Linked DNA regions of Canis lupus familiaris. The protein of the gene in region 3 purifies or fractionates together with the protein of the main gene of each other region. This does not show direct contact. Links are inferred from orthologs where the notes say so. Each region holds a gene or a part of one and is shown on either strand. Other genes may lie near its edges.

What was found.
Region 1: the proteins of ITCH (region 3) and FAM189A2 purify together in Homo sapiens (co-immunoprecipitation; 3 studies listed by BioGRID and IntAct, counting the BioPlex papers as one, with this or other methods). This does not show direct contact. The link is inferred for Canis lupus familiaris from reciprocal best matches to the Homo sapiens genes ITCH and ENTREP1.
Region 2: the proteins of ITCH (region 3) and DVL2 purify together in Homo sapiens (affinity purification with western blotting; 4 studies listed by BioGRID and IntAct, with this or other methods). This does not show direct contact. The link is inferred for Canis lupus familiaris from reciprocal best matches to the Homo sapiens genes ITCH and DVL2.

What each region holds. Positions count from the first base shown.
Region 1 is NC_049222.1:88,739,472-88,743,215, reverse strand, and holds the start of FAM189A2 (protein FAM189A2), read left to right. Parts: upstream 1-1,178; coding exon 1,179-1,610; intron 1,611-3,744. UniProt on the Homo sapiens protein: Functions as an activator of the E3 ubiquitin protein ligase ITCH in the ubiquitination of the CXCL12-activated CXCR4 receptor. Thereby, triggers CXCR4 endocytosis and desensitization, negatively regulating the CXCL12/CXCR4 signaling pathway.
Region 2 is NC_049226.1:32,406,525-32,410,268, forward strand, and holds the start of DVL2 (segment polarity protein dishevelled homolog DVL-2), read right to left. Parts: upstream 2,268-3,744; 5' UTR 2,225-2,267; coding exon 2,031-2,224; intron 1,943-2,030; exon of another isoform or gene 1,006-1,942; intron 330-1,005; exon of another isoform or gene 1-329. Other genes in the region: PHF23 (PHD finger protein 23), read right to left, coding at 3,592-3,744.
Region 3 is NC_049245.1:23,989,003-23,992,746, forward strand, and holds the start of ITCH (E3 ubiquitin-protein ligase Itchy homolog), read left to right. Parts: upstream 1-1,147; 5' UTR 1,148-1,271; intron 1,272-3,744. UniProt on the Homo sapiens protein: Acts as an Acts as an E3 ubiquitin-protein ligase which accepts ubiquitin from an E2 ubiquitin-conjugating enzyme in the form of a thioester and then directly transfers the ubiquitin to targeted substrates.

The DNA.
Region 1 (3,744 bases), on a different chromosome or scaffold from region 3:
CTCTTACTGATTCAATGAACTGCCTAATATAATACCGAGACTGACTCACTGCAAAGCGACCCCTGCTCTGGTTGTGAACCTGGGGGGGGGGGGAGCCCTATTATAATGGTTTCATGTATAAGAACACTCTCAAGGGGCATCTGGGTGGCTCAGTGGTTGAGCACCTGGCTTTGGCTCAGGTTGGGGTCCTGGGATCAAGTCCCACATCGGGGCTCCCTGCAGGGAGCCTGCTTCTCCCTCTGCCTGTGTCCCTGCCTCTCTCTCTCATGAATAAATAAATAAAATCATTAAAAAGAGAGAGAATACTTTCAATACATAAGAATCTTTGGAGGGAAGGGCATATACTCTTAGAGAAATCTTTTTTGCAAAGGCAAGTCTTTTTTTTTTTTTAAGCCCTAAATATGCCTTATAAATCACCAAAAACGGATGAGGATTGATGAAGCCATTTCTTCCGAAGTTTGGGGATTCTGCGTTCCATGAGGCGAGGTGAGGCGGACCCGTGCTACCTTGGCCTCGCGCTCCGGGCCGCCCCCCGCTTCTGTCCTTCTGGATGCCGGACGCGTCCAGGTGAGCTGGAGCTCGCGCTGGCCCCTACCGTCGCTAGCGGGGAAGCAGCCCGGCCGCCCCCCCCCCCCCCCCCGGAAGCCCCGGCCAGCGGCGACTCGCTCTGCGTCGTCCTTCCCCGAAGCGGAGGCTTAGACTTCTCCCACCAAGTCACCATAGCCCCTCCCCCGGCCATGCCTCCCTCCCGGGGCGGGGGTGCAGGAGAAACTTTAAAGCCGGGCTCCCCCGCGTTACCGTAGCCGGGGCTCGGGCGGCGGCTGGACTGGCCGCGGGCGGGGGGCGGCGGCGCTCCGAGCTCGGCGCGCGGGGCCACCTCCCGGCTGCCGGCCGCGGCCCCCTCCTCGCGCCCGGGACCTGCCCGCCGGGTCGCAGCCGCGCCTCCCCGGGACCCCCGGGCGCAGGCGCAGGCGCGCGCGGCCGGCCGCGGAGGCGGACCCCCGGGGGCAGGTGGGCGCGGCCGGCGGGACCGGGGCGGCGGCGGCGGCGGCGGCGGCGAGTGGTTGGGCCGGGCTCGCTTCCTCCCCTCCCCCTGGGCCTCGGGGTCCGCCCGCGGTGCCCAGTGCGCGGCGCCCGCGGCCCCGCGGCGCGTCCCCTGCCGCCGCCGCCGCCCGTCCATGTCCCTGCCCGTGGTGCTCCCGGGCTCCTGCTGCCCCGTGGCCGGCCTCTCGGGCGGGCCGCAGGCCGGGGGCCCGGGCGCCGCCGCCGCCGCCGCCGCGCAGGAGCCGCCGCTGCCCCCGCTGCGGCCGCGCTGGCCCCGGGCCGCCCTGCAGCCCCCCGCGCGGCCCCGCTGCGCCGCCGCTGCCCCCGCCCCCGCCCCCGGGGTGCTGGCCCCGCCGCCCGCGCTCTCCTCCCGCCGGGCCGCCGCCGCCGCCGCCGCCGCCGCCGCCGCCCCGGGCTCCGCGCTGCTGCCCGCTCGCCCGCTGCTGTCGCTCGGGCTGCTGCAGCTGATCCTGGGCTGCTGCATGGTGGCGCTGAGCTTCGGGGCGCTGTCGCTGAGCAGCTCCCCGCAGGTGAAGAACTCGTGCCCCTTCTGGGCCGGCTCGTCGGTGAGTGAGTCGGGGAGCGCCGCGCCCGCGCGCCCGGACGGGGCCCGGTGGGGGTGGGGGTGGGGGTGGGGGTGGGGGAGACCCGGGGCCTCTGGCGGGCGCCGCCGCGGCGGGGGCCCCTACCCCGCACGCTCCCAGCCCCCCGGTTCCCGGCCCGGGGCTGCCGTGGGGAGCGCAGCCTCTTAAAACAGTCCAAGTTTTTGGAGACGTTGAAGCCGCACCAAAAAGAAGAAGAAGGAAAAAAAAGGCCCAAAGAGAGAGTAGTTTAGGGGCGAACTGGGTTGTACCTGGACACTGTCTGTTCCTTGCAGGCTAAAGGGTTTTGTTGTTCCTGTCGAGTCCATAGGATAAACTAGATTTCCAGCTCTGGGAGATTGGACGAATGGGGGTGGATGGATGGATGGTAGGAAAGTAGGAGGAAAAAACGATTCCCCTTGGGGCCGCTTAGCATTTACTTCTGCGAAAACGTCTGGGCGGGGAGGGCAGTCATTTGACCCGTTTTGTCTCAGGAGGTAGTCACAGTGCCTGGCACATAGTAGGTGTATTTGCCCGGTGACTGAAGTGACAGCTTGACTGGGGCACGCCATTTATTTTATTCCAATTTAAGGCACACGGAAATGTGAAATGTATCGGGTAGGATGGCTTCACTCTGGGGACAAGTTCAGGAGATAATGGCAGGGTGTGTGCAAACACACTTGTACCTGGTCATTAAGGGAGGGCCCTAAACTCCCACTTGATTATTGGAGCCAGGCAGGCTGCTGTGCAGATTTTAATTCTCAAGAACCCAAAGTGTCATTATGCATGAGCTCTCCAAAGCCTCAGGAGCAGGGGACAGGTAACCAGAGATGTCTGGCCTTGCTCCCCTCCCCTCCCCCTGGACTCCAGGTGGCTACTCATCCCTGCCTCCTAAAATGTCAGAGCTTCTAAGGCACCCAACCTCTTGAGGTTTGCTGGGGGTTGAGAGACTGGGAAATATAGGTCTTTGTGGAACGATTGTGGAAGATGGGTATTTGAGAGTAACCAACCTTTTTTATGAAGTAACTAAATCTGAAAGTCTGGCGGTGCCAATAGTTGAAGATCTGTAATGAATGCATGTGCCCAATAAACATAAAATTGTCCTTTTGCAGGTCCATGCATACCCAGATTCAAGACCAGATTTTAAGAATATAGGGGCAACTCAGGGATCCCTGGGTGGCTCAGCAGTTTAGCCCCTGCCTTTGGCCCAGGGAGTGATCCTCGAGTCCCGGGATGGAGTCCCGTGTCGGGTTCCCAGCATGGAGCCTGCTTCTGCCTCTCTCTCTCTCTCTCTCTCTCTCTCTCTCATGAATAAATGAATTTAAAAAATAATTAAAAAAAATAAGAATATAGGGTTAACTAACTGAACCCAAAGTAATTGTTTGAATAAGAACATCGAGAACATTAGGTGCAGTGAGCCCAGCCTGGTGTTTTATACTTAAACAGAGGCCAATTTGCTTTCCTTTTGAAATCCTCTGACCTGGATGGTCTTACTGTGGAATAGCCCATGCTGTGATAACTGGAGTCCACACTCTGTACATCATGTAAGAGGAATCCCACCCTCCTTGGCCCTGGTACCGGGCTCTTCCCAGGGCCTCCTGGAGTCTTTTTTTTAAACAGGGTAGGGTTTAGATTCATTATGCTCCCTAGTCCACTCGTCAGACCAAATTCAGCCAAATGGTGGGTGCATTTCATTTCTCTAAATACCGTGGGTCGGACGTGAGTCTTGGATACATTTGTAGGGATTTCCTCTTTATAAAATCATAATCTCTCGTCCTCTCAAAGATTGCTAGTTTAGGATTATTTAAAATTATTTTTTTCTCTTCTGAAATCGAAACCCTCAAATCAGTGTATGACTGAATTATTTCAGAGGCAAATACACTTAGATGTCAGTCAATAAAGAGTTGGATTTGGTGAAATATATATATGTATACACACACACACACACACACACACACACATTCTTACATACAGCCATCAGTCAGAAGATGAAGACTGTTCCTGGACCTGCTGGCTGGGCGTGGCCTTGTATTCTAGGATCCAGCAAAACAGAGCAGGGAAACAATCGGTGACTTGGAACTAAATTCTCTTCTGCTGGATTGTTTTCTACAGCTCACCC
Region 2 (3,744 bases), on a different chromosome or scaffold from region 3:
CATGCTTTCTTGGTTTTCTCTGAGTCATGTCCAAAGCCCTAGCCCAACATGCTACCTTTCCCCCACGAAAATATACCCATGAGACCCAAGGATGACACCTACTGGCTAGGCTGAGCACTCCCAAGGAGAGGTGAAGCCCACCTTCCCCTTCCCCCGGGGCTCATCTGGCACAAAATTCTACACTGAGCAACCTGTTCTGCCTGACGGACCTCAAAGCCCAGCCTTGGGGTCATTCCTCCCCTGGGTTCCTTGGGATGGACAGGACTTTGCCCCTTCTTCTCAACCACCACGTGGGATCACCACAGCCTATTCTTTTTTTTTCTTTTTTCTTTTTTTTTTTTTTTAATTTTTATTTATTTATGATAGTCACAGAGAGAGAGAGAGAGAGAGGCAGAGACATAGGCAGAGGGAGAAGCAGGCTCCATGCACCGGGAGCCTGATGTGGGATTCGATCCCGGGTCTCCAGGATCGCGCCCTGGGCCAAAGGCAGGCGCCAAACCGCTGCGCCACCCAGGGATCCCACCACAGCCTATTCTGTTCAACACTGCATCCTGGCCACACAGCAAAGACCCTGATGGTGGTAAAGTGAATGTTAATAAATATCTGTTCAATACTGTTAACGAGTATACTTGTTGAACAAGTATCTCATGAACAAACACGAGCTCTGAGAGACTGAGTATTGAACAGAAGGTCTCTCTCATACTCACATCCTCACCTCCAAATTAGGACAGCCTGTCTGATTAACCCTTTACCCTAATATGGTTCTAGGAGCCTGGATGCGTGACAACTTAATCCCACTTGTTATCGATAGGGCCACTCAGCCCAATCCCTACCACTGCTCTGTCTCGATATAATGCTGGATTCTTAGAGATGTAACCCAGTCCCGGCGGAGCCCAGCCCGGCAAATGATTCCACTCTCTATCACCATAACCCCGTTTACAGATTAGCTGAGCTCGACGCTAGCGATCATCACAACTCGCTAAAAAATTACTGTGCATCGCTTACCTATACGAAGTTTCTTGTGCCAACTGTGTCTATCTCCTGGGTCATATCATTGCTAACAAACAGGAATTTCGATCTAAATCAAAGGTAACTCCCAACACAGTCCCACCTTCCTCACGGCCAACGGTCTTTCTCAGTAGAAGCCAGTCCATTCAGCTATCCCAGAACATGGGCTGTCTCAGGCCAATCCAGCCTGCCTTCAAGAGCTGAGGCTGGCTACCTGGAGAACTCAGCCTCAAAAACCATAAGCAAATTTATTATTAAGAATCCAAGTCTGGCCCAGAATGACTCCAAACACTCCAGAATAGCCATATTGGGCTATTTTAGCAATGACCTACAACGTCTCCACACGCAGCCGTCCATACCAATATAGACCAGATTATCCCAATACAGCTGTCTGCACTGGCATAGCCTCAAAAACCTTGTCTGCCTCTCTACAGAGCGTCCCCATGAAACACTTGACCCCAACAGAAACTTAAGATCAACCAACACAACCCAGAAGAGACAGAAGAGCAGGAAATTCTTCCGAGAGAGCCTGGTAATCTGCTCCAAAGCAGCCTAGAACATCCCAACACACCCTTTTCTGCACCAGAACAGGCCAGATGTCCCCAAACAATCTTATCTGCTCTAGGATGGTCTAGAATGCCCTAAAGCACCCCAACACGGCCCAATCATCGGGAGATTCCACAATACTGCCCGTGGGCCGCAGGACTGCTCGAAAGGCATCGGATTACCCAGAATAACTCCCAAATAAACCAGTGTGCCCCATTCTATTCCAGGACAGCCTAATCTTTCCTGATCTGGTTCGGCACGGCCCGGTGTGTCGTCCTGGAGCTCCGTGCGTCTCGATTTGTCCAAGCGTAACCTTACCCAACCTGGGATGCCCAATCTAACCCCCGCATAATGCCCTGTCCAGCACTCCAGCCCAGAAAAACCCAGCGTGGCCTAGGGCCGACCTGTGCCCCTCAGCAGTGGCCGATCCACCGCCGCGCAGCCCCCACCGGTTCCAGCCTAGGCCTCGCGCTCACCCGAAATCCTGATCCATAGACTTGAAAAAGTACTTAGCGCCCGCGGGCCGCTGCAGGACGCTCTTGAAATCACCGAGGGTGATGCGCTCCGCCGGAACCGGGATCTTCACCAGGTAGGGAGTCTCCTCCTCATCCAGGTGGTAAATCACCTTCGTCTCCCCGACGCCGCCGCCCCCCGCGCCGCTGCCCGCCATGGTCTCGCCCGCGCGCTCCCAGGTCCCGCCGCCCACCCAACCGGGCGAAGCGCCCCCACCGCGCCTGCGCACACCCGCACCCCGCCGCGCGAGCGCGGACACGATCAGCCGGGCGCCGGAAAGGCGCGGCGGGAAGGCGGCGGGGATCAGCGGGGTGGCGGCCGACGGAAGGGAAGGGGGCGGGCCGGAGGGCTCGACCCGATGCCGCAGACTCGGCCGCCGTCGCCGCCGCCACCGCGCGCCACCGCCGCCGACGTCGCGGGCGCCCTGCAGCACCCCGCCCACCTCTCCCCATGTCACGTGGTCCGCGGCGGCCCGCCCTCCGTCACGTGACTCCACCGACCACGTGACCTACAGGCTCCGCCCAGTGCCAGCGCCACGTGATCATTGCTTTCAGCAACGGTCTCCTAGCCCTCGACGGCCCCGCCCCCAAATGTGTCCCCACCCGCGTCCTCCGAGCACCCCGGCGGAGGCCGGCACTGGCCTTCGGGGGGCCTGGCCACCGGTACCCATCCCGTTTGGCCCCACTCGGGCGGAGAGCTCCAAACAACGCTGATTCCCTGGAGCGTGCGTGTTGGGAGATAGGATGGGGGTCCTGGGCTGGGGTGCCCGGTGGAAGCAAGCCGACTGAGGGCCAGGCTGGGGGCGGGGGTCTGGGGAGCTGGGGGGTGGGGGCGCGCAGAGCCGGGTGGTTTTCTGCTCTGGAGGTGGGCTTCAGCCCCCCGCGCCTTCTGCTTTTCCACCGCGCCCCCACCCAAGCAGGACAGTCAGGGAGGGCTATAAACACAAAAGAGCCCACTCTGCTTTATTTACAACACGCAGGCTGTCTGTACAAACAGCTGGCCAATATTATTAAAAACAAAAGAGGTGAGCGAACATATCGTCACCTGTTTTCCTTCCTCCCTTGGCCAGACCCTGGTTGGTACTCCACCTCCGAGCTGCCCTGCCCAAAAGGGGAAGTCCAAAATTAAAAATACAACCGGTGTAGAATAAATGGGGAGATAAAAGAAAAGATGAAGAAGGGGAGTGCTCTATTTACACTAGAGTTTTATAGCCAGCTGTCCCATTCCACCCCAATTCCAACCCTGGCCCAGAAAGCGAAGGGTGGCAGGTCTAAGGAACAGAAATTATGTGTCTAGGGACCAGCCTCTCACCCCCAACTGCAGCAGGTCCATATTCAAGTCCACAAGGCGGGAAGGAAAGATAAGGTTGGAACGTGAGACACTCCTTTCCAAACCAGCCTCCAGTGGGAATTCCTGCCTCCCAGTGGGACAATACCCAAGCTCCAGGGGGACGGGCCGAAGACCCGGAGGCTCAGCTCCCAAGTCATGCTGTCACATGGAAGTCCCAGCCTAGGCACGGCGATGTCAGGGCTCTCCAGACTTGGGAGTACCCCCTAACCGCCGGGCCTCTGGCCGCAGTTCCTTGCATTTCTGGCAGTAAAAGAAGTCAGGGACGTTGGTCTTCTTGATCTTAGCACAGGAGAGGTGGATCCACGTCCCACACAGGCTGCACTCAAT
Region 3 (3,744 bases):
AGATTTTTTCTCTCTCTTTTTTAAAGATTATATTTATTTATTCATGAGAGACACACAGAGAGATGCAGAGACATAGCAGAGAGACAAACAGGATCCCTGTGGGGAGCCTAATGTGGAATTCCATCCCAAGACCCTGGGATCACAGCCTGAGCGAAAGGTAGATGCGCAACCACTAAGCCACTCAGGTGCTCTTCTTTAGGAGATTCTGATGGGCACTAAAGTTTGAGAACCACTGCCTTGGAGATTCTGAATGGGTTAGGATCCAGAAGTCTGCATCATTAATAAGCTCTCTTAAGTCATATTGCAGGAATGCAATTTGAGAATTGAGAATTGAGATTTGAACATACTTTGAAAAATGCAAGTGACTTTCCAGATGGTAAAATATGTTCATAAGGAGGAAACAGGCTAAACAATAATAGCTAAGGTCATTAATTAGGAAGCCCTTATCTGGGCCTCTGAATTTACTTGCACAGCCTATTAATTCTCACAAACAACCCATAAAGAAGAGGATGGACTCTGAAGTCAAACTGCCTGGGTTCCTATCCAGCTTGTGACTTGGTTTACCCATCTGTAAAGTGAGGATAATGGAGGTAGTTTCCTTATAGATTTGTTGTGAGGATTAAAGAAGCTTATTGATCAGCTCTTCCAATACCTGCCAGATTGGCACCACTTACATGTAGGCTATTCTCATCATCCTTAAGCGTACTTTGTTAAAAGGTGGATTTGAACCCCATCAATTTAACTCCCCAGCGTTACTTTCTTAAGGACTAAACTATAATCCAGTGTTTCTGAAAGTGTGATTCCCCCACCAGAAGCACAGCCGAGTTAGAAATGCAAATTACTAGATCTCATCCCAGATCTGCTGAAACGGAAACTCTGGGGGTGGGGCTCTCCTAAATGTCAACAAGCCCTTCAGGTGTTTCTGATGCACAATAGCTTTTGGGAACCACAGCTACAGTCTTTAGAGGTTCTGGGGAAGTGGGCATACTTTAAAAAAAAAAAAAAAAAAAAAAAAGCCTAGAGTGGCTGCGAGCAATCCCATAGTCCCTCCTACTAAGGGCGAGTAAACTCCGGTGTAGCTGCGCTGCCCAGCTCCGGCCAATTCTCCCGGTCAGCGCGCAAGGCTTTCTGGGGCTTGTAGTCCACATCCCTGCCGAGCAGGAGGCGCCTGCGCGTTGGCCGCCAACTCGCTCTAGTCGCTGTGGTCTGGGCTCGGGACCGGCTGCCATCTTAGTCGAGGGACTGAAGAGTCGCCGCCGCCCCGAGTCCCGGTAAACATTCGCGGGCGGACTGGGGGCGCTTCTGGGTAGGAGGGGGAGCCCGCAAGAGAGTGTCGGAGGAGAACCAGGGGTGAAGGAGTGCGGCGCGCGGGCAGAGGACCCTAGAGCCGCGACTGCTCTCTCCTCTCTCACAGCCGGTGCCCGTGGGGGGCGCGGGGAGCTCGGGCTAGTGGCCGAGGGGTGGGTTGGCCGGAGACGCCGAGGAGCCACTTTTTGACCGAGGCGTGGGGAGCCCCTCGCCTCGCGGGCGCCAAGTTGTGAGAGGGCTGGGCCGCGTTGGGCGCCAGCTGGGGCCGGCCCCGCGCCCCTCAGCCCCGCCCGGGGGCCACTCTCCCGCGGCCCGGCCTACGCGCGGGGCCCGGCGGCAGCGGCCGGAGCGGCCGACGTGGCCCTGTGAGGGGCGGCGGCCGGGCCCACCTGCCACTCGGCTGGCCTTCCCGAGACTTTTTGGAGCCCCCAGTCACGAGGCAGGCCCAGCGTAGCGGCTGCCTTCTCTTTCTTACACTCCCCTCCTCCCTCCATTGTCCCCCATCGTGGTGGTCCCGGCCCAGGCGCCCTTTTCCGCGCCTGCTGCCGCGGCCCCGCGGGCACCTCCCGGCGCCGAGTTTTGCAGACGTGGAGCTGTCACTGCCCTCCCTCTTGAGTGCCCTTTTCTTTGGCAGAGAAAAGAAAAAAAAGTAGTCGTGAACGTATTCTAAGGGTGAGAACGTGATGAGGACACGACTTAGTGGGGGAACTCAAGTTTTCAGACACAGTCTCGGGCCACGGCTTACAGAGAAACACAGGGTCTGTGCGCTCAAGGTGGACGTTGGGCCTAAAGTTAAAGATGTAACAAGGTGAACGTGCAAACTACCCGAAATTCACGATTCCCCAATAACAACTCAGCTTTTCTCGGTTATATGCGCATGTTAGTCTTGTTACATTTTCTGCCATAATTCTACAGCTTCAGTATACTTTTTTGGGAGTGAGGGTTGGGGAAGGAAAAGTGGGATTTTTTTGCCCTTTGGAAATTATTGAGGCACTGGAGCCAGTCACTTATCATTGCACTTAGTTGGGGGGTCTCCCGCATCTTTTCTTAATCGATTTTAGGGAAGTATGTAAAGGCAGCGGATACTAACCCTCAAAATCAGCTAAGGATTTCTCAGCTGAAATAAAGTTCTCATGGCAGCTATGCTGGAAGCCTGCACTATGTATTTATTCATAGATTTACTCGGGGTACAGTTATCAACAGAATGTAAGGTTTTTGGGTGTGAGTCCAGAAGGAATTCCTTCATGGTCAGTATATGAATCAAGTCAAAAAGGACATGAAATAAAAAATGAGTGCAGAATACGTTTTCACAGTATTCCAGAGGGAATCATTTCTGAATTCTAAAACAAAACAAAACAAAAACAAAAAACAAAAAACAAAAAAAACCCATCTGTTCGCCTATTGAAAAAGATAGACAAACCAGTAGTTCCTCAAATTGCACATTAGAATAGTTAGGGGAGCTTTTTAAAAGTAGAAATTCCAGGGTCTCCTTTTCTGACATCAATTTAGTAGGTCTGCTTTTGCCCTGAAGAATTTATTTTTAAAACATGCCTCAGGCAGCTCTCTTGGTTTTGGGAACCACTGAGGCAAACAATACTGTGAATCTACTGAGAAGCTTGAGACAGAATTGGCCAGTTCTGTCTGGGGTTTGGCTGTTGAAGGTGGCAGGACCTGCTCCTGTCCTAAGTTTGGCCTTAGATGATGAGTGGGAATGTGATAAGGATGGGGTAAGGGAAGGACAGTGCTGTATGTAAATGCAGAAGATAGTGGGAGAAAAAGGGTTCAGGGAACAGGGAGTGGGATGGGGAAGGAGAGCATTGTAGGATGTGAGGTCAGAAAGGTAAAAGGAGGTAACTGAAAAGTTATAATGCTAAAAACTGGAGTTTTATGTTAGTAGATTCAGAATTTAGACAGGGAAGTGATATGAGTGACGTGTGTTGTAGAAAAATGGCTCTGGTGATGAGAGTGAAAGGGTGGAAGAGTGGCTATTGCAGAGGTCTAGGTGAGAGGTGAAAGGACTTAATGTTGGAGAGAGGCTGTGGGGATGCTCAAGGGATTAGATTTAGTTCTTTACTAGTGCAATATTGTTGCCATATTTTTGGATGAGACTTTTTGGGGCCAGACTGGGTAAAAAGGCTCTTGTTCTGTAAAAAGAACCCATTAGCAAATCTGAACAATATTACCAGGTTATATATATTAATGGTATCAAAATATATTGTTCATTAGTACTTTTGGAAAATTAGAACTAAATTGGTTGCATTTGGAGGAGAACTTGGAGATTACACTGAAATTTATGACTTTCAACACTACTGATCTAAGCCTGTTGGAAGTGTTTTTCTCTTGTACTCAGGAACTTGGTATTAGAATTTTGGAAGAGATAATCTAGTCCACAGTGGCAAATATATTTTGGTTAATCAATTCTGCTTTGAAGTAGCT